5 linked regions of the Mus musculus genome follow. The protein of the gene in region 1 purifies or fractionates together with the protein of each later gene. This does not show direct contact. Links are inferred from orthologs where the notes say so. Each region holds a gene or a part of one and is shown in the gene's direction. Other genes may lie near its edges. The genes, in order: Srpk1, Ddx5, Rnps1, Drosha and Ssrp1.

Region 1 (3,746 bases):
GGGAAAAAAACAACAACAACAAAAAAAAAAGACACAGCATAGAGCAGTAGTTCTCAGCTTTCCTAACACAGCGGTCCTTGAACGCAGTTCCTTATGGTGTGCTGACCCTCCCCAACAATGCAGTTATTTTTGTTTCTACTTCATGACTAATTTTGCTGCTATTAGGAGTCATAAATATACCTCAACACAAGTTTATCTTACCCAAAGCCTTTCTTTTCATTTTTTATGGTGGGTTGTAGTAACAGCAGTGTGGGAAAGAGGCTCAGACAGCCTGCTCCTCCCTGTTTACTTGAGGACTGACTGTACTACTTCACTTGTGCTAAAATATGGCTTCCTCCCAACACAGGTTCGCAACTCAGACCCGAATGATCCAAATGGAGAAATGGTTGTTCAACTACTAGATGACTTTAAAATATCAGGCGTTAATGGAACACGTATCCTTTAAGAGCTTTTTTGTTGTTGCTGCTGTTTGTTTTGTTTTGTTTTCTCGAGACAGGGTTTCTCTGTGTAGCCCTGGCTGTCCTGGAACTCACTCTGTAGACCAGGCTGGCCTCAAAACTCAGACGTCTGCTGCCTCTGCCTCCCTACTGCTGGGATTAAAGGCGTGCGTCACCCCGCCTGGCTTTCTCTCTGGTTTTGCGTGCGTGAGTGCATAGTTGCAGCCCTTGAGCAGAAGCTGGTTACTGTCCTCTTCCCATCCTTCCTGATGCTTCTGTGCCTGGTACGTGGGCACTCGTGAATACTTAAAAGGGACATCGGCAAATATCCACCATGGTGGTCTAGCTTTCCCTTTGGTACCTTGTTGTTTTTCCACCTGGGATGCCTAGATTCACAACTGAGAGTCTACCTAGAGTCTCAAGACCTTCCTCCTGAGGGACTCCTGCCCCTGTTGCCCAGTGCCTGCCATCATCTGTTTAAGTTTGTCTGTTTGAATCAGGCAAATAAGAGCCCACTAGGCAGTGATGGCGCACGCCTTTAATCCCAGCACTTGGGAGGCAGAGGCAGCCGGATTTCTGAGTTCGAGGCCAGCCTGGTCTACAGAGGGAGTTCCAAGACTGCCAGGGCTACACAGAGAAACCCTGTCTCAAAAAAAAGAGCCCACCTGTCGGATCCCTTAATTTAGGTCTGTGGTTGCTTTCTCGGGTTTGTCAGTTTTGTCTATTGTACCTTGAGGGATGTGTGTTCTTTATCGTGCTGTATCAGCACCTGTGAGCAGATCCATCAGGCTTATCACTGAGATGCTGCCCGCTGTGAAGGTGACATGCTTTGTATGACACTGGTCTCATAGGTCGCCTACAGGTCTCTCCGGAGGCTGAGTCCACAGGCGCCATGTTCTCCCACTGTGGCAGTTTATTACTTGGCCTTGGTGTTCTCTAGTAAACGTGTGCTGCCTCTCCTCAAACTCTTTATGTTAACTTTGACCCTAAAGTAGGATGCTAACCCAATGGCCTGCAGAGTGGTGGTGCTTCTCCACCCAGTCTGGGCCACATGAAGAGACCGTGGGTAGGCAGCACGCAGGCATTAAGATCGATGCATGGAGTGTCTGTATAAAGCGAGTCAGGGATCTGTTTTTAAATTCTCAGGGAGGGTTAGTCCAGTGCCGAGGTACTTCCCTCGCAAACACTAGGTATGTTCCACTCTACCACAGGCAGAGAGCTTGCCACCTTCACCTTTCAGTTAAGTTTTGCATCTTCTTTGTTCTTCATGTTGAGCCTGTGTGAGTGGTCATGTTACACACACACACAAGCCCGATATTCTGAGGGGAACCTGACTCTGAGGGGACGACTAGACTGATCTTTCCTTCCACCTTCTGAGTGTGTTTTCTCCTCCTAAACCAACTTTTTTTTTTTTTTTAAATTTTCTTTTCTTTTTTTTTTTTAAAGATTTATTTATTTATTTATTTATTTATTATATGTAAGTACACTGTAGCTGTCTTCAGACGCACCAGAAGAGGGCACCAGATCTCATTATGGGTGGTTGTGAGCCGCCATGTGGTTGCTGGGATTTGAACTTCGGACCTTTGGAAGAGCAGTCGGGTGCTCTTACCCACTGAGCCATCTCACCAGCCCCCTAAACCAACTTTTTTAAAGTAGTTCTGTGACTGAAAAGACTGTTGATGCTGGAGTCTACCTGCTTCCTTGGGCCTCTTTTTTTTTTTTTTTTTTTTTTTTCCTTAATGAACTCCTAGATATCTGCATGGTGTTTGAGGTTTTGGGGCATCATCTACTCAAGTGGATCATCAAGTCCAACTATCAGGGGCTTCCGCTGCCTTGTGTCAAAAAAATTATTCAGCAAGTATGTATGTTGGTTATTGCTATGTGGGATACCCCTCCCCTCTATTGCCTGCCTCTTTGAGAAGTATCTAACTATGTTATGTAGACCACGCTGCCCCAGAACTTAAGTTTGCTTCTGCCTCCTGGGTGCTGGGATTAGAGGGTTTCACCACTACACCTGGCTGATGGTATCTTTATTTAAAAACCTCCGGTGTTTTCTCCTGACAAAACACAGACTGAGGATCGGGCTGGGAAGTGACTCACTTGGAAATTGTCTGCATGCGAGTGTGGAGACAAGAAAACTTGGCATTGTGGGCTTTTGTTTTAGTTTGTTTTTTTCTTATGTCTGTGTGGTGTTTGCCTCCATGTCTACGTCATGCATAGGCAGAGTCCAGATGAGCATTCCCTTAAGCTGGAGTTTAAGGTGCTTGTGAGCTGTCATATGGTTGCTGGGAATTGAGCCTGGGTCTTCTGGAAGAAGAACCCAATGCTCTTCGCTGCTGGGCCAGCTGCACCTGCGAACCCTCTCTCTGTGCGTTGTGACTCTTCCTTTCCCAGCAGGCTTGGACCGTGTGTTACTGAAGCTCCTGCTTTATTCTCACTTAGGTGCTACAGGGCCTGGATTACTTACACACCAAGTGCCGGATCATCCACACGGACATCAAACCAGAGAACATCTTGTTGTCTGTGAATGAGCAGTACATTCGAAGGCTGGCTGCAGAGGCCACAGAGTGGCAGCGCTCAGGAGCTCCCCCACCATCGGGGTCTGCAGGTACATGGGGTGCTTTGCTTGAGTCAGACCCTCAGGAGGAATTTCTGTTTTCATTTGTTCACAAAACAGCAGAATTGTACTCACTGATTATTTTAGAGATAGTAACAACATTAAAGAGACTGGTATTTCTTCCAAATGGGAAGAAAATGAACAGTTGTTATTTTTTTAGATAAAAAGTATTCGATATAGTAAAATAGCTGACTTACATTATTGTTTTAGAGTGTTTTTATTTGATGGGCTTTTCCATTTGATTGACTCCTTTGTAGGGGCATGTAGCTCAGTATATGTGGGTGTTAGGACAGCTTTCAGGAGTTAGTTTTCTCTGCCACGTGGTTCCTGGGGGTCAGACCAAGGTACTGAGGCAGCATCTGTCTTTGCCTGCTAAACCAGGCTTCTGACCACTGTCATTTTCATTTTTTAGGATGTCTTCTTATACAGTATGTAGGCCAGGCTGAATTTGAATGCCTGATCTTTCTGTCTTAGGCTCCCCGGGGCCTAGATTGTAGCTGTATGACACTGGGTGCTCCCTGGGTGGCTGGCTGTGGTTTGCCTCTTGGTGCTCACACATGCTCACCTACTGACACTGTCAAGTAGCAAGTGCTGCTGGATTGTGTTTATCGAGGAGACCTTGGCCCAGTTAGGAACTGTGGGAGTTGGACTCCCGTGGTGCAGCCGGGCGAAGCAAGTGGCGCTATGCTCAG
Region 2 (4,372 bases), on another chromosome or scaffold:
AAAGCGTCCTAGACAACCGAATCAATTGGCTTTTCAAAGGCAGTACTAGAAAATGCCAGTTACTCTAGAGGGCATCAAAAGAACTTATGAGTGCTATGCCTCAAAAAGGAAAAAAAAATCAATATAAAGATAAGTTCTGCCTTAGTCCAAACAAAGCAAGGGGAAAGAGAGACAGTCTGTGGATAGATACCCCACAAAAATTCGGATCCAAGAAAGGATCTTGACTGCTCTATATAGACAGGATGCGGGTGTCCCAGGCTCGACAAAGAGTTCCTATCTCATCCCAAGTCTCAGTTCCACGTCTGGAAACCGCAAGAGGTTTCGAGGCTGAGACCCTAAATTCATAGAACCCCCCCCCCCACCGCGCGCGCGACTGCAACTAGTGTCCGACAGTCCCGAGCCTCCGCAGCGGCGCAGACGCGGTTCAGATTCAGCCCAAGGTCCGCGGAATGCTGCAGTACAAAACCACCAGGGCTCCAGGCCGAGACTCACCAGCCTCTGAGCTGGCCATACTGCCAGGAGAGGTCGCGGCCGGACTCCAAGACGAGAGCGCGGGCGACGGTGTCCCAGAAGGGTCGAACTCGGTCGAGCCGACGGGAGGAGGAGGGGGCAGACACTAGCGAGCGGGGAAGGAGGGGTGGAAGAGGGAGGGACGTTAAAACGGCTTCTCGACGCTGATTGGACAGCAGAGGAGCACTTCCTCGCAGCACGCGCTGAGGCGGCAGTTTGCGGGCTCCAGATACCATTCCCCGCGGTCAAGATCCCGCTTACGGGTTCTCAGATCGGCGGGCAGGGCAGCCAGGTCACCCAGCAGCCCGGCCGATCTCCCCGGGGGCGTTGGAGCCGCGCTTCCGGTGAGTTGGTGGTTTGGTGTTCCTCCGCCGAGAGACCAAGCGAGGAAGTAGTGCGATCCGCCTTGCCCTGGGTCCGATCACGTGATGAGGCCAAGCTCCGCCTCCCTGGTCTCCTTCGGTTATGGGCGTGGGGGGAGTCTGTGGAGACGTAAACATCTTCAAGTAGAGTCGGTGGAATGGCTGGCGCTGGCCATTTTAAGGACCGTCTGGCCACGGGGAAGCAGCTTGTCTGAGGTGTAGCGAGACGAGAGACGGCGGTGTCGCCAAAAGGGCGTCGGGGCGAGGCATTCTAGTGGTGTCACCCAGTCGTGAAGCGAGTAATAAACGGGCGCCGGGGAGGGAGCGCCCGCCCGCGGAGGGGGAGGGGCGAGAACATGGCGGATTCCGGAACCCGGGCGGGCGGGCGTTGAGGGCCTCCGAGCCAGGGGGGCGGGGTGATTAGGTCATAGAGCGGCTCCCAGCGTGCTTTGCGGCGAGGAGGCGGTCCAGACTATAAAAGCGGCTGCCGGGACGCAGCCGGCACCTCATTCATTTCCATCGGTCCTTGCCCTCGCAGCTCCGGCCCTCGACACCACCGGCCCCTCCGCTGGTGACGCCCCCGCAGAGGCTTCGCCGTCGCCGAGGCCTTCTCTCCGCGACTCGTCGCCGCAGGATTCTACTTTCACTGGGTTCCGCCCGCACACCGCCACCATTGACGCCATGTCGAGTTATTCTAGTGACCGAGACCGCGGCCGGGATCGAGGGTGAGTGTGACAAGAGACCTGTCAGGCCGGGTGGGGGATGGGAGAGCGGCGCGGCCGAAGGCTCGCCTTCCCAACCGACCTTTAGATTTTTTTTTTTCCCTTCCTGAAAGGAGGCCTGGCTTTTGTCACACGTCCGGTTAAAAGCCGTTAAAGGCTACGCTTCGGGTAATGGCGTTCAACCTTTTTTTTTTTTTTTTTTTTTTTTTTTTTGGTCCGGGAGGGTGGGCCGGGACCCGGGGCGGCCCGGCGACCTCGCGGCTGTTGAGGGAAACCCGGAGGAGTGTTTTCGGTCGGGAAGCGCCGCGCCTTTGAGGCGGTTCCCGGCGTCGTTTGCGCAATCTTTCGTTGGGTTGTTTTTTGAGGGGGGCCCCCCCTTCCGGTATCCCCGGGGGAAAGAAGGGGCGCTTTCGAGGTCCCCTGTGCCCCGTTGGGTGGCCTACGCCGGCGGATTCGGCCATGTGGCGGAGCCGCAGCCACAAAATGCCGGCCTCGGACATGGCGGCGGCGCCTTTGTTACCCCGCCCGGCGGAGGAGCTCAAAATGGCAGCGGCGAGAAAATGTGGCGCAGAGAGAAATGCGAGACAAAGAAGGAAGCGCCGCCCCAGCGGGAACGCCGCCCGGGCCGGGACTCCTCCCCCGGTTGCTTTCGGCTCCTCCTCTTTTTCTCCCTCGCGTTATATAATTTTGTTACCTTGGTTTGCAGCCGTTCGCGGCGTTTCCCTAGACTCGGCTCGCTGGCGCCTGTTCCCCTTTCTACCCTGTCCGCCGTGCTAGCCTCGTTCAGCTGCTCACATTGCCTTTGCGGCCCCGTTATTTCTTTAAGATTAGGTCCTTTGATGAAAACGGGCAAAAATAACCTTCCTAAGCTCCTCCCTTCTTGCCCAGCTCCTAGACGCTAATGCCTAAGCTCTGTGGGGAGAGAAGATGGAGGCTCTAACTCTTGTCCTTGTAATCTGGTCAGATGTTTGGGCTGTTTGCCACCTGATAAACCCACGATGTTTATTTGGCCTCAGTAGAGTGTGCTTGGGACTTCAGAAAAGAAACGCTGCCAGTTGTGGCTGTCCTTAGAATGACAGTTGGGAAGGATTCCAGAAGCACACTTTGGCTCTATCAAAAGGCAGCAGATGAAATGTGAGGGCAAACCTGTTCATGCAGTATCTTTCACAATGTGCCCAACTTTTGTTTTGTGTGTGTGTAGGTTTGGTGCACCTCGATTTGGAGGGAGTAGAACAGGACCCCTCTCTGGAAAGAAGTTTGGAAATCCTGGGGAGAAACTAGTTAAAAAGAAGTGGAATCTTGATGAGCTGCCCAAATTTGAGAAGAATTTTTATCAAGAACACCCTGATTTGGCAAGGCGCACCGCAGTGAGTTTATAAATGTGGCTTCTTCATGCTGTAACTCAGTAACTGCTTCTAGTCAATTAGATGGAAATGTAATAGGTGCCTTGCAAATGGAGAGTTGCTTGTGGTGCACTTCCATTGAATTTTTCTTGTGATATATGGTGCCCTATTTTAATCCTGTCACTGGGGAAACAGGTTTAGCAGTCTATTGGGCTTCATAGAGACTCAATTTTCATTTAAATAAGTATTATAAATTAATTATTAATTTTTGTTGCCAAGTAGAGTTCTTATTTATGGGTCCAGATTTTTAGAAATAAGTATGTTTAAAAGTTTATTGAGCTATAGGGAGCATGGCAGAAGTCTGAGGCTGAGATAATTTGTTTTTCAGCAAGAGGTAGATACATACAGAAGAAGCAAGGAAATTACAGTTAGAGGTCACAACTGTCCAAAACCTGTTCTGAATTTTTATGAAGCAAACTTTCCTGGTAAGGACTAACTTTCATCTTTATCCTTTCATTTCCCCCCCCCCCCTTGCTTATAAATTTGTTTTTAAAATGGTATTGTTGGTTGCAGCGAATGTCATGGATGTGATTGCAAGGCAGAACTTTACTGAACCCACTGCTATTCAAGCTCAGGGCTGGCCAGTTGCTCTCAGTGGATTGGATATGGTTGGAGTAGCTCAGACTGGATCTGGGAAAACATTATCTGTAAGTCTAGGAAAACTTGATAAATTGTGGCAGAGGTGACCTTAGATATATAACTATTTTAATCCAATTTCTATTATTTTTACTCTTCAATAGTATTTGCTGCCTGCCATTGTACACATAAACCACCAGCCATTCCTAGAGAGAGGTGATGGGCCTATTGTAAGTATTATCTTAAGTTTCCCACCATATTTGCTAAAACTCCTTTGACTTTCATATAGGGAATATAGGGTTGCCAGTATAAACTAGCCACTTAAAATTAGTATCCAGCCCAGGCGTGGTGGCACACACCTTTAATCACAGCACTGGGGAGGCAGAGGCAGGTGGATTTCTGAGTTCCAGGACAGCCAGAGCTACACAAAGAAACCCTATCTCGGGGGGAAAAAATTAGTATCCAAAGACAGTTAGTTGGATCAGCCAATTATAGATACTTGTCATGAGCCTGATCAAGATCAACTACCACAAGGAGAGACCAACTTGCAAAAGTTGCCTTCTGGTTTCTCCATGTGCTTCCACACACAAAAATTTTATCCTGAGAATAGTGCCTGGGAGGTAGAAACTGGAGAATTCAGGAGACACTGTCTCAAAAAAAAGTCTTATGACCACCTGAATTCTAATTCCCAACACACGAAGACATAGGGTCTTAGTAAACTGTTTTATACTAAACACTTTTTTTTGTTTTTCAAACTTAGTGCTTGGTGCTGGCACCAACTCGAGAACTGGCACAGCAG
Region 3 (4,427 bases), about 4.2 Mb from region 1:
CCAGTGTCTTTGTAGGCAGTGCGAGATTTGCTTTTGTGGCTTTTCTCTCACTAGTCCGTCTACCTTTTTGCTGCCATCTTTCACTGACATCAGGGCCCAGCTTCTTCAGCCTTCCAACTAGTGCTGAAGACCAGGAACCCGCCATGATTTCAGCACCAGATTAAGACTACAAGGACATGTAGTTTCTTAGAAAGCTACTGGCTCTCAGCCTTTCTAGTGTGAATAACCCAGACTGGATGATGTAAGTGAGGGTCATCGTTTATTTGTTCCGTTCCACCAGAGAACAGCTAGCATCCACTTACCACTCATGTCTGACCACAGCAGACACAACAGCAATGCAAGAAAATCAGCTTATCCCTAATATCCTATACATTAAATAATCTTAAATCCAACAAGGGTACCAGACCAAACTGTCTAGATCTGCTAACCCCACCCCAAAAAATGAATACCTCAGGAAAGCAGACTTCAGAAGCAGGCTCCTCTTCCTGACTGTCCCACAGGACACACCCAGCTCCTTGGACCGAGATAATCTCTTCTCTCCATCTCTCCGGGATCACCAAAGTGCACATTGGCCACTTTCCTATCTTTCACAGCAATATGTAATCCAAATCTAAGTCACCTTTGTACCTTCCTCCTGAAGCTCACCTTAGCTCTGTTCCTCTTTCTTCGTTCCTGCCTCAAATCTACTTAGATAACCGCGGGGATTGTGTGCATATCCCTTTCTTCCGCAAATAACGGAGCAAGAATGTGCTAGGCAAACCGGGCGGTGGCGCTCGTCTTTAATCCCAGCAGTTGGGAGGCAGAGGCAGGCAGATTTCTGAGTTCTAGGCCAGCCTAGCCTGGTCTACAGAGTGAGTTCCAGGACAGCCAGGGCTACAAAACAAACAAACAAACAAACAAAAGAATGTGTTGGCAAAGTCGGGAGGCGGGGCACTACGGCGGGTGCTACTCTTTAGCCTCGTGCAGAGACCAGATCCTCTATGTCCTTGCTAAGAAGTTACTGACGTAACCCCGGTATAGACTAGCGTGCCTCTTCTTCTCCCAGCGATCCTGAACGCCTTTGCTGTTCCTTCTGCCCCACGCATTCTTGTCAGAAATGTCTCCTGGGAGAAACCTCCTTCAACATTTCCTCAAACTTTTTTCCTTTCTGGCCTCATCGGCCGCCCGCTACACCCAGTCAGCTGTATCCCACCAGCACAGAGACCATATCTATGCAATCACCACTAACTACCAGAGACTTGACCATAGGAACTCACCGTCCGTACCAGCCTGTCCCTTTACTACAATAACGCGGCCTCAGCAGGGTGCCTTAGATCCTAATGACAGCAGAGGCAACCCGAGTAGCTCCATCCACACAGATCCGGTAGGCGCCAAAGAGCACAAACCTCTGGTGCCGGTCAGCCAATCATCGCGCGCTTCAGAATGAGCAAAACAAGTCCAGGAAACTTTAGACCAGTCGGGGAGGGGGGGCGGGGGGGGGGACCGTAGGCGCTACGACGCTCCGCCCACACACAGTTGCTGTCCTTTAGTCCTCCACCGCTAACTTGCATTGGCTGAGTGTGCTTACGTCATCGTCGCGCGACGACGGCTGCGCCTTCCCGCTTCTCACCTCTGACGACAAAGTTGCGCCGGCGTCCTGGTCTGAGAAGAGCGGGAGGAGGTGGCGGCCTTGGGAAGATGTAAGTCGGGGTAGGAATCCGGCTGCATCCGACCTCCGGGGACCTTCTGCCAGGCTTGGCGGGGCGCATCGTGGAGCCGGTTGCGTTCCTCAGTGCGGCAGAGGCCCGCCGGCGAGGAACAGAGCCCGAGGAGAGAGTGTGGTTCAGGTCGGGCGGAGTGGGAGGTGTCGAGGCCGCGGCCCGGAAGTGGTCGAGGCGGTCACCGACGGAAGGGTGATCCCGCACGGTTCGCTCGGCGGCGACCCGCTTTAGCCTGCAGGACTCCAGCAGCTGCGAGCCCTGCCGCTTCTCTTGTTTTCTTGTCAGGCTGGAGACCTAGGCTCGCCACACCGGGCCCGACCTGAGTAGTGAGTGGAGAAAGAGGGTGGGAGGCGAGGTCGATGTCTGTGGCCGGAGCGGACGGTGCAGATTGCGAGCCGGCCTAAAAGGTTGGTTTCCTTTAAAGATCTCTTTCCACGAGTGTCTGTCGGAATCCAGTGTGCAGTTCTCAGTTCTGGGCATTGAGGATCCGTCCTAGGATGGACCGAGCACGGTTACGGAGCTCAGCGGGAGAGGATATGGGAAGGTTATGGTTGATGGTAGAGACGTGGTGGAGGCTTGCTTTCTCTACCTTGTGTTACTTCGTAGGCACTGTGTCTCCGATGTGCTTTTATATGTAGAGAGTGCTTTCAGATTGCCAAGACGCCCTCTGCTCGAGATTTAACCATTTGTTTTCTCCTCTCTCTGACTGTTGGACGCACACCTTTCCGGAGGATGGGAGAGGTGACCAAGGTCCTGAGCTGTTACCTGAGCTTGAGTGAACAGAGACCCTCACCTTTGCTTTCTAGCACTCGACCACACCCAGCAAAGAGTTCGCTTACGCCGCAGTTCATAATTTGTAGACTGCTTAACAATGGGTTCTGCCTGTTTCATAAAGTACATTCCAGCAGGTCGGGGTGCGGGTGCACAAGGGTGATCTCTACCCTTTGTCACTGGTATGAAGCACTTGAATAGTAACCCAAACCCCAAAAGTACATACCAGATTTAAATGACTTAGTATAGAAAACCCACAAGAAATTTAGTAATTTTATGTTGATTATATGTTACAAAGGTAATGTTCATTTTGTTAAAAACTAGTTTTGGGACCCACACACTGCCTTTAATCCCAGCACTCAGATGGCAAGTCAGAGTTTGAGGCTAGCTTGATCAACCTAGGCTAGCCAGGGCTGCCTAGTGAGACCATGTTTCAATAGGGGGGAAAAAGCCTTTAATTTTGGACTGTCAGTACTTGTGAATGGTAGAGGTCTTGTTGAGTATACTGGGCTCAGTGTTACTTCGTGTAGCCTTGCCTGTCCTGGAAGTAGACCAGGACAGACCTTTGAACTCGAGAGCCTCATTTCCCAGTTCTTGTTTCTAAAAAAAATAAGAAAGGTTTCACTAACTTTTGTGACTTGGCTGAAAGGAGATTAAAGGGTGTGCTCATGGTTCACACTCATGGACAGTGCTGCTTTTAGTGATCTCATCCAAAAGTCAGCTGAGCTGTAACACAGTTAACTAAGCAGCCAGAAATCAAACTTACCACTGAGCTTTTAGCTGGGTGCCTTGCCAGATTGATAGATTGATTTAGCCAAGCAAGGTTTAGGGAGCTAATTGTCAGGATTACTTAACTTGGTAGTATGCTTTTGCCTGTTGTGCACAAAGCCCTGGTTTCAGTCTCCAGCTCCATATCGAAAGCCTATAATCCCAGGCGGAGGCAGGAGATTCAAGTCATCCTACATAGAACATTTGAAGCCAGCCTGGGCTAGAGACCTTGTCTTTAATAGAATAAGCCTTTGGTTCCTGTACTCAGGAGACAGGAAGGATGAGTCCCAGCAAGGTGTCATGGTACACAGCTTTAATCCCAGCACTTGGGAAACAAAAGTGGGGGAATCTCTGTGACAGCCAGAGCTACAGGATAGCAAAAAAAAAAAAAAAAATTAAGAATGAGTGCCACAGCTGGACAGTGGTGGCACAGGCCTTTAATCCCAGCACTTGAGAGGCAGAGGCAGGTGGATTTCTTGAAGCCAGCCTGGTCTACAGAGTGGGTTCCAGGACAGCCAGGACTGCCCAGAGAAACCCTGTCTCGAGAAAAAAAAAAAAAAAGACTTGAAGCCTGAAACACAGGCTTGCTTGCTTGCTTACTCCAGACCATGGAAGATAGCTGAAAAGATATAGTCCTGGAAAGAAGCTAGATAGGTAATCATTTGCCATTTCTATTTGTCAAAGTAGTGGAAGGGAACTGTTCTCATGAGCTAGACTTATTCAGCAGCATTTAGAAGGGCCCTGTTTCTGAAAAGATGTATTCTCGCCTTACACTTGAGGAAGGTGAGGAAGAAGAGTTAGGATGTATCCTGAGGCCTTTTTTTGTATTTTGCTCCAAGAGAAGTCCCAGGGAGAATTAGCTGTCTTTAGTTGAGTACTTACTGTTACGTGGCATTATTGCTAAACCCTTAACACTGCCTATAAGATCTCAACCCATTCAGAGGTTTCAACAGTTGTGCCTACCTGACTGCTGACTAGATCTACCAAGTCACATTTTCCCCTTATTTGTTTATGGTTTACCTACCTGACAGTCTTACTTTTTTTCTTGCCTTTTTCTTTTTTTTCTTTTTTTTTCCTCCCAGGCAGGGTTTCTTTATGTCGCTTTGGCTGTCCTGGAATAGCTCTGAATCAGCCTGCCTCTGCCTCCCCTGTGCTGTGGTTGAAGGCTTGCACCGCCGCTCCAGCTTT
Region 4 (3,746 bases), on another chromosome or scaffold:
CTAGGCTTCACCAATAGCCTCTCATAGGCTCTCTTCAGGGTGCCAAGCCTCAAATCCTTTTCATGACCCCTTCAGTCCTGGGCCATCAACTACAGCTGAGGCTTCACCTTCTCCAATGGCCTTCCCTGGCCTCTCACAGTGCTAAGCCTCAGCTTCTCTCCATGATCCCTTCATTCCTTCACAAGCAATACCACCTGAGTGACTCTTACACATTACCAAGTCCAGCCGCAGCATGAGGTACAACCTTGGGTATCTCTGGAGCACAGCTTCTTTGTGCTCCCAGAAAACAACTCCCAGATTTCAACTCAGTGATGCTGGTTTCTTCTTAATCACTGCTAATTCCTTAGCTCCAGCTAACCAGCATCAATTTTCCCAGTAGTTCCTTCCATTCTTAACTCTAGAGCCCGAGCCACATGGCTGAAGCCGCCGAGTTCTGCTGCTTACAGGAACTAGAACATGATCCCCTTGTACTATTACATTATCACTAGCTTTATGTTTCCTAAATCCTTCACTGCCTAAGCTTGGCTATCCTGGTTCTTGCTCTGTAGATTGACCTTGAATGCAGAGATCAGCATGCCTGTCTTGTGGGATTAAAGGTTTGTACCACCATGCCTGGATCTAAATTCAGCTGGGTAGAATCTTGCCCCAAGGTCCCACTCCCTTAATCTTTTATCTCCTAGAACACAAGATTTTGCTCCATTTCACTTCCTGGTACTCCTTTAATACTCGAACCATATATTTTATATTTTGCCTTTCTAAGCTTGCTATGCTTGTTCAAACTTCTCTTTGTGAGACTTAACCAGAGAACAGAGTCTCTGCTGGGCCTTTTTGAAACTTTCTTTGTCAATGCAATTAATGCAATTAATCCAAGTCTCTTCACCTTAGCCTCAGGCAGACTTTTCAGACAAGGGTAAAAAGTAGCCACATTCTTCACCAAAATACCACAAAAACGGTCTTTATGCCACATACTGAAATTCTTCTCCTTTGAAATCTCTTGGGCCAGGTCAACACAGTTCAAATCACTCCCAGCAACAAAGTCTTCCATATTCCTACTTGGATGACCCATTAAGCCCCATTTAAAACAGTCCACTGTGTTCCAAATCCAAAGTCCAAAAATCCACATTCTTTCAAATAAAAGCATGGTCAGGCCCATCACAGCAATACCCCAGTCCCTGGTACCAACTTCTGTCTTAGTTAGGGTTTTACTGCTGTGAACAGACACCAGGACCAAGCAAGTCTTATAAAAAACTACATTTAATTGGGGCTGGCTTACAGGTTCAGAGGTTCAGTCCATTATCATCAAGGTGGGAACATGGCAGCATCCAGGCAGGCATGGCGCAGGAGGAGCTGAGAGTTCTATGTCTTCATCCAAAGGCTGCTAGTGAAAGACTGACTTCCAGGCAACTAGGGTGAGGATCTTATACCCACACCCACAGTGACACACCCATTCCAACCAGGTCACACCTATTCCAACAAGGCCACACCTCCAGATGGTGCCACTCCCTGGTCCAAGGATATACAAACCATCACACCCAGAGAGGGCACCCAGCATCCGTAGTGGCCTGGAAAGTAAACTGGCTGCGGGAGGTTGCCGGGGATGTGTTGGCAGAAGCTGATTGAAGTATTAACATGGGCACCAGCCTGCCCATTTAAGTGGTGTTCAGCAGTCCTGTTTTCTCCCTGGCCTTCAGGGAATGAAATGTTGGTTCCTCCTAAGTCCGAGGCATTGCCTGGTGCCCACTAAAGTAGAGTGGGTCAGAGCTATATAGGCTGTTTTAACAAATGAGCTATTAAGACACTGGGCAAGATTAGAGGGACATGTGGGCAAGGGTAGGAAATGGAGAGGAGAAGGGTCCAGGGATTGGCTGTAGTGGTGGGCTGTGTGGAAGAGACGGGAAACAGCTGGCTATAAAGATTTTAGGAAAAAAAATTCTTTTATATGGGTTGAATATTTTGGTGGTACTGATTAATTGTGTACGGGTAGTTAGGTATTTAAGAAACCTGTTTGCATAGTGTGTACATAGTGATGTGTGTGTGCCTGTGTAATTTTCTCCTCAGGCACTACCCACCTTATTTTTGAGACAGGATCTCACTGTATGACTGGACAGTGAGCCTCAGGAATCCTCCTGCCTCTGCCCTCCCAGCTCTGGGATTGCAAGCACATCCGCCGTGTTTGGCTTTTTGATTAGTGTTGTGCTCCGGGGCCCGAACTTGGGTTCTCATGAGGTTTTTAAAATTTTACTTTAAAATTTACGTTTATAGTCCGTGAGCATGCGCATGAATCTATGCTTGTACCTACGTGTGTGCGTATGTGCGTGCACCTGCGTGAGGGGGGGGGGGAAGCGTATGTACGTGTATTAAGTGTATGTGTGCGCATGCGCATGTGTGTTTTGCGCATGCGTGCACGTGTGCGTGTGTGAGTGTGCTCGCGCGCGCCCGCGTGCGCACGGGTGTGTGCAAGAGAGATCGCGAGGGGTGTATGTGTGTGTGTGTGTGTGCATGCTGTGCGAAAGAGAGAGATCGCGAGCGCGCGAGGTGTGTGTGTGTGTGTGTGTGTGTGTGTGTGTGTGTGTGTGTGAGACAGCTTGCAGGAATCACTTCCCTCCACACTGAGGGTCTTGGTGAGGCCCATGTTTTGATTTCTCCTTTTCTCTTCTCTAAAAAGTCATAGAATGTCGTACCACCCAGGACGAGGGTGTCCCCGGGGCCGAGGAGGACACGGAGCCAGACCTTCAGCACCAGCTTTCAGACCCCAAAACCTGCGACTTCTTCATCCCCAGCAGCCGCCTGCGCAGTATCAATATGAGCCTCCGAGCGCCCCCTCTTCCTCCTACTCGAACTCTCAGGCCCCCAGCTTTATGCCCCCACGGCCAGACTTTGTCCCTTACCCTCCCCCAGCGGCGCCGTCTGCCCAAGGGCCTCTCCCTCCCTGCCCAGTGAGGCCGCCTTACCCCAACCACCAGATGAGACACCCTTTCCCGGTGCCTCCCTGTTTTCCACCCATGCCCCCTCCGATGCCTTGTCCCAATAACCCGCCTGCCTCCGGAGCACCTCCCGGACAAGGCACTTTCCCCTTCATGGTGCCCCCTCCTTCCATGCCCCACCCTCCGCCCCCGCCCGTCATGCCGCAGCAGGTTAATTACCAGTACCCCCCTGGGTACTCGCACAGCTTCCCACCGCCCGGCTTCAACAGTTACCAGAACAACTCCAGCTCTTTCCCACCCAGTGCTAACAGCAGCAGCACTCCTCATTTTCGACACCTCCCACCATACTCACTCCCAAAGGCTCAGAATGAGAGGCGGTCCCCAGAAAGGCTCAAGCACTACGACGACCACAGGCACCGAGATCACAGTCACGGGCGAGGCGAGAGGCATCGGTCCCTGGAGCGCAGGGAGCGCGGCCGCAGCCCTGAAAGGAGAAGACCTGAGAGCCGCTACCGCTCAGACTATGATCGGGGGAGAACGCCACCGCCTCGCCACCGCAGCTATGAAAGGAGCAGGTGAGCCCATGCCAAGTTCCTTAATAAAGCTGTCTGCTGGGCAACAAAAACTTGTGCACAACCCCCCATCCCCACCCCGTTTTCTTTTGAGGCAGGGTTTCTCTGTGTAGCCCATGCTATCCTGGAACTCACTCTGTTGACCAGACTGGCTTTGATTCTTCTACCTCTGCCTTCCTACTGCTGGGATTGAAGGCGTGCCATACCACTGCCTGGTATGCACTTTGATTTTTAATTAAAAAAAAAAAAG
Region 5 (4,312 bases), on another chromosome or scaffold:
ACTCTGTCTACTGTTTCTATTCTGTTCTCTTACGCGGCATCTCTATCCCAGCTCACCAGCTGCTTTGTATTCTCCAAAGCCCCTTGTAACTGCCCACTCTTGAGTTAGCTCATCTGCCTGAGCCAAGAACTCCACTCTTGAGTGTCTGTCGATTTCTATCTAATAGCACAAATAGGGAGAAAGGGTTCTTGACAGTTCTGTGTCTCCTGGGAGGAAGACACGCATTTCTTACCATCTCCTCCTCTCTGCCCTCCAGCATCTCATTATGTTGTCTAACTTGTTATGTTGCCATGTTTCAAATTCACAATCCTCCTGCCCCAGTCTTTGAGTGTTGTGATTACAGATTTGTAATACTACAAAGCGGAAAGTCGCTTATTTCTAACTCTAGTTGGTTGCAACTCTTCAAGTTGCACAGAAATTACTGAACTCCCTCTCTTTTTAAACCCCGAAGTTATTAAAATCTTTTGTTAGGGTATGTGCTCCTAAGAGGCTGGGCTATTTTAACGATCTTCAACAGTTTTGTCAGATCCTAGAAACGTGCTGCATTAATAGGTTTTCATTATGTCTTAAGCCCAGTTTGACTTAGCTAAATAGTGCTAGCAATGATAGTGGTTAAAGCCACAAGCACCGAATGACAAAACACATTTTTATCTATATCATATCCCAGGACTGAGTTAGCAAGTCAGTGCAGTGATATTTCAGGGAAACTGTGGGCTTATCCTGTCTTTGTGTAGGACATATGCTAGCAATCACTCTAAACCCTGAACCCTCATGATTATAAAAGGCTGATGTTAAAGAGTCTGTGTTCTAGGTTCCAGTTTTGATGGTAATGGACTGACACCCAGTCGCAAATCTTTTGTGGTCTCATTTTTCTCATCTGTAAAATGAGATAAACTCAAGCATCTCTGTCAGACCTGGCTTCAGATTTTGCAAGATGCACTCCGGTGCTATGTGAGGCCATCCGGGCTTCTGCCAACGTAGGCTGATGTGATTTCAAGTAAGTTCTAGCTCAAAGGTAAATCCGACACCACCACTTGAATTTAATGCAGCCATCTGCTAGGCTCTTCCTGAGAACCCACAAATTAGGGATATGGACAGGATAGTGTTGGGGGTAGGTGAACTCACTGCAGAAAGGATCTGATCTACTTGCCAGGGTACAGCTGGAAAGCAAGCACAATCGCCGACACCCGCATCTCCTTTGCAGCTAGTGGGGCTACACCTCTGTATTTTTCTTGTTCAACAGACTCCTTCCCAGATTATTTCACAGGAGGGAGGGGCGTGCATGATTCCAACAAACATACAAACCTGAACACCTAATAAAACCGCATAATTTCCCTTCGGAATCTAGTCTTTGAAGAGCAGCTTGTAACTTTCTAAAGAGTGTTCCCGTTTTCTAGTCAAGAATTCAGCCGCGTGGGATTCCATAGCAAGCCTCTCGCTTTAGCCGACCAGGGGGAGTGCCGACGCTCTAGGCGAATGTACCCGTTGGTCGGCCCGGATGATGCCGTTCTAGCCAAGTCTTCCTCTCTATGGTCCGTGCGCGACTTCCGGTGGCGGGACGCGGGGCTGCGCACGCGGGAAAAGCTTCCCCGGCATCCCTTCCCCCGCATCCCTACCCCCTCCCCTGCGTCCCCCTGCGCCCACCGCCCTCACTGTGCCGTCGCGAGGCTGCAGCTCTTAGAGGTGGGTGGTCGCGATCCCTGGGCCCCTGGTGTGCATGGGCCCCGCTCCCCCGCGGGACGATCGGAATGGATCGATCCGCGTTCAAATTCGCGGGCAATGGGCGAATCCATTTTAAAAGAAGGGGGAGAAACGTAGATTCACGCGGGGCCCCGGGGTGGTGGGGTCTCTGCGATCAGGACACTACCCTCTGAGCGGAGTTGAGGTGCGCTCTCTGAGCGGGTCTCAGGTTCCGCCGATTGTTGCCGTGCCTGTCCGTGGAACGTACCGAGAGGGTGTCGGGTTGGGGTGTAAGCGCCACTATAGGCCTGGTTCTGCACCTAGGGTCCTGGGCCTTGGCCTCAGGAGCCCTGCAGAACGGGTCAGTAAGATCCCCAGGCAGCAAAGAACTTGAGACATACCAGGTACATGGCTGAGCGGAGTAAGGTGGCGTTGTTTCTTGCTTATCAGTCTCCTTCCCGAATTCAGATTCCCACCCTGCTGGACATCTACACAACTAACCAGGAATTGGGGCACAGCATCCAGAGAAGGGTTCGTTTTCTCTGGTGCAGCCTAGGGCTGTGTGCTCAGGCCACCACGGGCAGGTGAACATGGCAGAGACATTGGAGTTCAACGACATCTTCCAGGAGGTGAAAGGGTCCATGGTGAGAATGGCTTGGGCAAAAGAAAGGCAGAGAGGGGGAAAGAGTTCGAATCTATGAACGAAAAGCTTAACTCTGACTACTTTTTTGGAAACAGTGTATCAGTGTGTCCCCCAAGCGAAAACGTGAGCAAAGTCTCAAAGAGTTGCAAGATGTTGAGTTTGTTGAGTTGTATTAGAAAACCAGGAAACTGGGGCCCTTACAGGGTTTCTGATGCCAGAGCCAAGCTTGCAGTCTAGACTTAATGTCTGTTGTGTCTTTTAACTTGATTTCACCACGACCGCTTTTCAATTGATACTCTGGCCATCCTGCATCCCATGGGTAAGGGGTAGAAAGGATCCACTACACACTACCCTGTTCTGATTTTGGGTCTGTATTTTGGGCAGAATGATGGGAGGCTTCGATTGAGCCGTCAGGGTATCATCTTTAAGAACAGCAAGACGGGCAAAGTGGACAACATCCAGGCTGGGGAGTTGACAGAAGGCATCTGGCGTCGGGTAGCATTAGGCCATGGGCTTAAACTGCTCACAAAGAATGGGCATGTCTACAAGTACGATGGCTTCCGCGAATCGGTGAGCGATCTTGTTCTGTGACCCACTTTCTTTGTAACTGCCTTGTCTTTTTTTATTTTTAATCTTCTAGAGACAGTTGGCGTTTCTCTGATAATCATGTTACTGCTCATTTGGGTTCCTCGAAGCAAGGCTGTTGGAGACTATTGAACAAAACAAACAAACAAAAAAAACAGTGTTGTGTATTCAGTACACGTGTCGTGTACCTGGACTCCAGGAGGTTTTCTACCATCTTAACTTATACCATGGTTTCCACTTGCTCCCTCTGTCCTGGCTCAGCATCTTAGCTTGGTGCTCTAGGATTTTGCTTTTCCATTTTGAGCTGCTTTTGAGTTACTTGGTTTTAATATTCACTTTCATCAAAAGATCACCTACACAAAGTTTAGAAACTCAGGTGATGCATGTATCTGGGAATTTAAGTTTCTTTACTACTCTTAGCCAGAGGCCCAGAAAAAAAGTTTTTGTGGTTATTGTTAAAAAATATTTTCAGGGTCTGGAGAGATGGCTCAGTGGTTAAGAGCACTGACTGCTCTTCCAGAGATCATGAGTTCAATTCCCAGCAACCACATGGTGGTTCACAACCATCTGTAATGGGATCTGATGCCCTCTTCTGGTGTGTCTGAAGACAGCTTCAGCGTACTCATATATAAAATAAATAATTTTATTTATTTATTTATTTATTTATTTTTGACAGGGTTTCTCTGTGTAGCTCTGGCTGTCCTGGAACTCACTCTGTAGACCAGGCTGGCCTCAAACTCAGAAATCCACCTGCCTCTGCCTTCCAAGTGCTGGGATTAAAGGTGTGTGCCACCACTGTCTGGCATAAATAAGTCTTAAAAAATAATTTTCATTCGTTAAAAAGTATTTATTTTATCTGTATGAGGCTTTGCTAGCTTGTGCACCATGTGCATGCCCGGTGCCCACAAAGCTCAGAGGAGGGCATTGGATCAGCTGGAACTAGAGTTACAGACAGGTGTGAACCACTGTGGGGCGCTGAGAAGGACTCCAAGGTCTTCTGGCAAGAACAAGTACTCTTAACTGCTGGGCCATCAGGTCTCTAGCACTTAAAAGGTTTTAAGCACAAAGGTTAAGGGAAGGAAAGAGGCTTGGAAGAAGGACATCCTTGAAGAGTAGGGCAGAAGGCATCTGGGTTCTAGAAACAGTCTCCACTAACAAAGGGAAATTGTTTTGAAACAGTTTTGGAGTTGGTATACTCAGTTAGCTGAAGTTCCTGAGGAAGATACATTGGTGACCTGAGCTAGAGACTCTCAGGACCTGTTAGTTGTGTTGAGACCCAGAGGTTTAACTGGATCTGCATTTTCTCCGTTTGATTTACAGGAGTTTGAGAAACTCTCTGACTTCTTCAAAACTCACTATCGCCTTGAGCTAATGGAGAAGGATCTGTGTGTGAAGGGCTGGAAC

Evidence for each region.
Region 2: the proteins of Srpk1 (region 1) and Ddx5 purify together in Homo sapiens (affinity purification with mass spectrometry; 3 studies listed by BioGRID and IntAct, with this or other methods). This does not show direct contact. The link is inferred for Mus musculus from reciprocal best matches to the Homo sapiens genes SRPK1 and DDX5.
Region 3: the proteins of Srpk1 (region 1) and Rnps1 purify together in Homo sapiens (co-immunoprecipitation; 5 studies listed by BioGRID and IntAct, counting the BioPlex papers as one, with this or other methods). This does not show direct contact. The link is inferred for Mus musculus from reciprocal best matches to the Homo sapiens genes SRPK1 and RNPS1.
Region 4: the proteins of Srpk1 (region 1) and Drosha purify together in Homo sapiens (affinity purification with mass spectrometry; 3 studies listed by BioGRID and IntAct, counting the BioPlex papers as one, with this or other methods). This does not show direct contact. The link is inferred for Mus musculus from reciprocal best matches to the Homo sapiens genes SRPK1 and DROSHA.
Region 5: the proteins of Srpk1 (region 1) and Ssrp1 fractionate together in Homo sapiens (co-fractionation; 3 studies listed by BioGRID and IntAct, with this or other methods). This does not show direct contact. The link is inferred for Mus musculus from reciprocal best matches to the Homo sapiens genes SRPK1 and SSRP1.

What each region holds. Positions count from the first base shown.
Region 1 is NC_000083.6:28,601,987-28,605,732, reverse strand, and holds part of Srpk1 (SRSF protein kinase 1), read left to right. Parts: intron 1-346; coding exon 347-434; intron 435-2,188; coding exon 2,189-2,295; intron 2,296-2,879; coding exon 2,880-3,045; intron 3,046-3,746. UniProt on the Homo sapiens protein: Serine/arginine-rich protein-specific kinase which specifically phosphorylates its substrates at serine residues located in regions rich in arginine/serine dipeptides, known as RS domains and is involved in the phosphorylation of SR splicing factors and the regulation of splicing.
Region 2 is NC_000077.6:106,785,498-106,789,869, reverse strand, and holds the start of Ddx5 (probable ATP-dependent RNA helicase DDX5), read left to right. Parts: upstream 1-1,375; 5' UTR 1,376-1,553; coding exon 1,554-1,597; intron 1,598-2,795; coding exon 2,796-2,961; intron 2,962-3,325; coding exon 3,326-3,422; intron 3,423-3,510; coding exon 3,511-3,644; intron 3,645-3,737; coding exon 3,738-3,803; intron 3,804-4,333; coding exon 4,334-4,372. Other genes in the region: Cep95 (centrosomal protein of 95 kDa), read right to left, coding at 493-511. UniProt on the Homo sapiens protein: Involved in the alternative regulation of pre-mRNA splicing; its RNA helicase activity is necessary for increasing tau exon 10 inclusion and occurs in a RBM4-dependent manner. Binds to the tau pre-mRNA in the stem-loop region downstream of exon 10.
Region 3 is NC_000083.6:24,413,056-24,417,482, forward strand, and holds the start of Rnps1 (RNA-binding protein with serine-rich domain 1), read left to right. Parts: upstream 1-1,619; 5' UTR 1,620-1,677; coding exon of another isoform or gene 1,678-1,679; intron 1,680-1,985; 5' UTR 1,986-2,107; exon of another isoform or gene 2,108-2,450; intron 2,451-4,427. UniProt on the Homo sapiens protein: Part of pre- and post-splicing multiprotein mRNP complexes. Auxiliary component of the splicing-dependent multiprotein exon junction complex (EJC) deposited at splice junction on mRNAs.
Region 4 is NC_000081.6:12,831,164-12,834,909, forward strand, and holds part of Drosha (ribonuclease 3), read left to right. Parts: intron 1-2,665; coding exon 2,666-3,499; intron 3,500-3,746. UniProt on the Homo sapiens protein: Ribonuclease III double-stranded (ds) RNA-specific endoribonuclease that is involved in the initial step of microRNA (miRNA) biogenesis.
Region 5 is NC_000068.7:85,035,646-85,039,957, forward strand, and holds the start of Ssrp1 (FACT complex subunit SSRP1), read left to right. Parts: upstream 1-1,474; 5' UTR 1,475-1,683; intron 1,684-1,805; exon of another isoform or gene 1,806-1,885; intron 1,886-2,130; exon of another isoform or gene 2,131-2,148; 5' UTR 2,149-2,270; coding exon 2,271-2,324; intron 2,325-2,707; coding exon 2,708-2,893; intron 2,894-4,228; coding exon 4,229-4,312. UniProt on the Homo sapiens protein: Component of the FACT complex, a general chromatin factor that acts to reorganize nucleosomes. The FACT complex is involved in multiple processes that require DNA as a template such as mRNA elongation, DNA replication and DNA repair.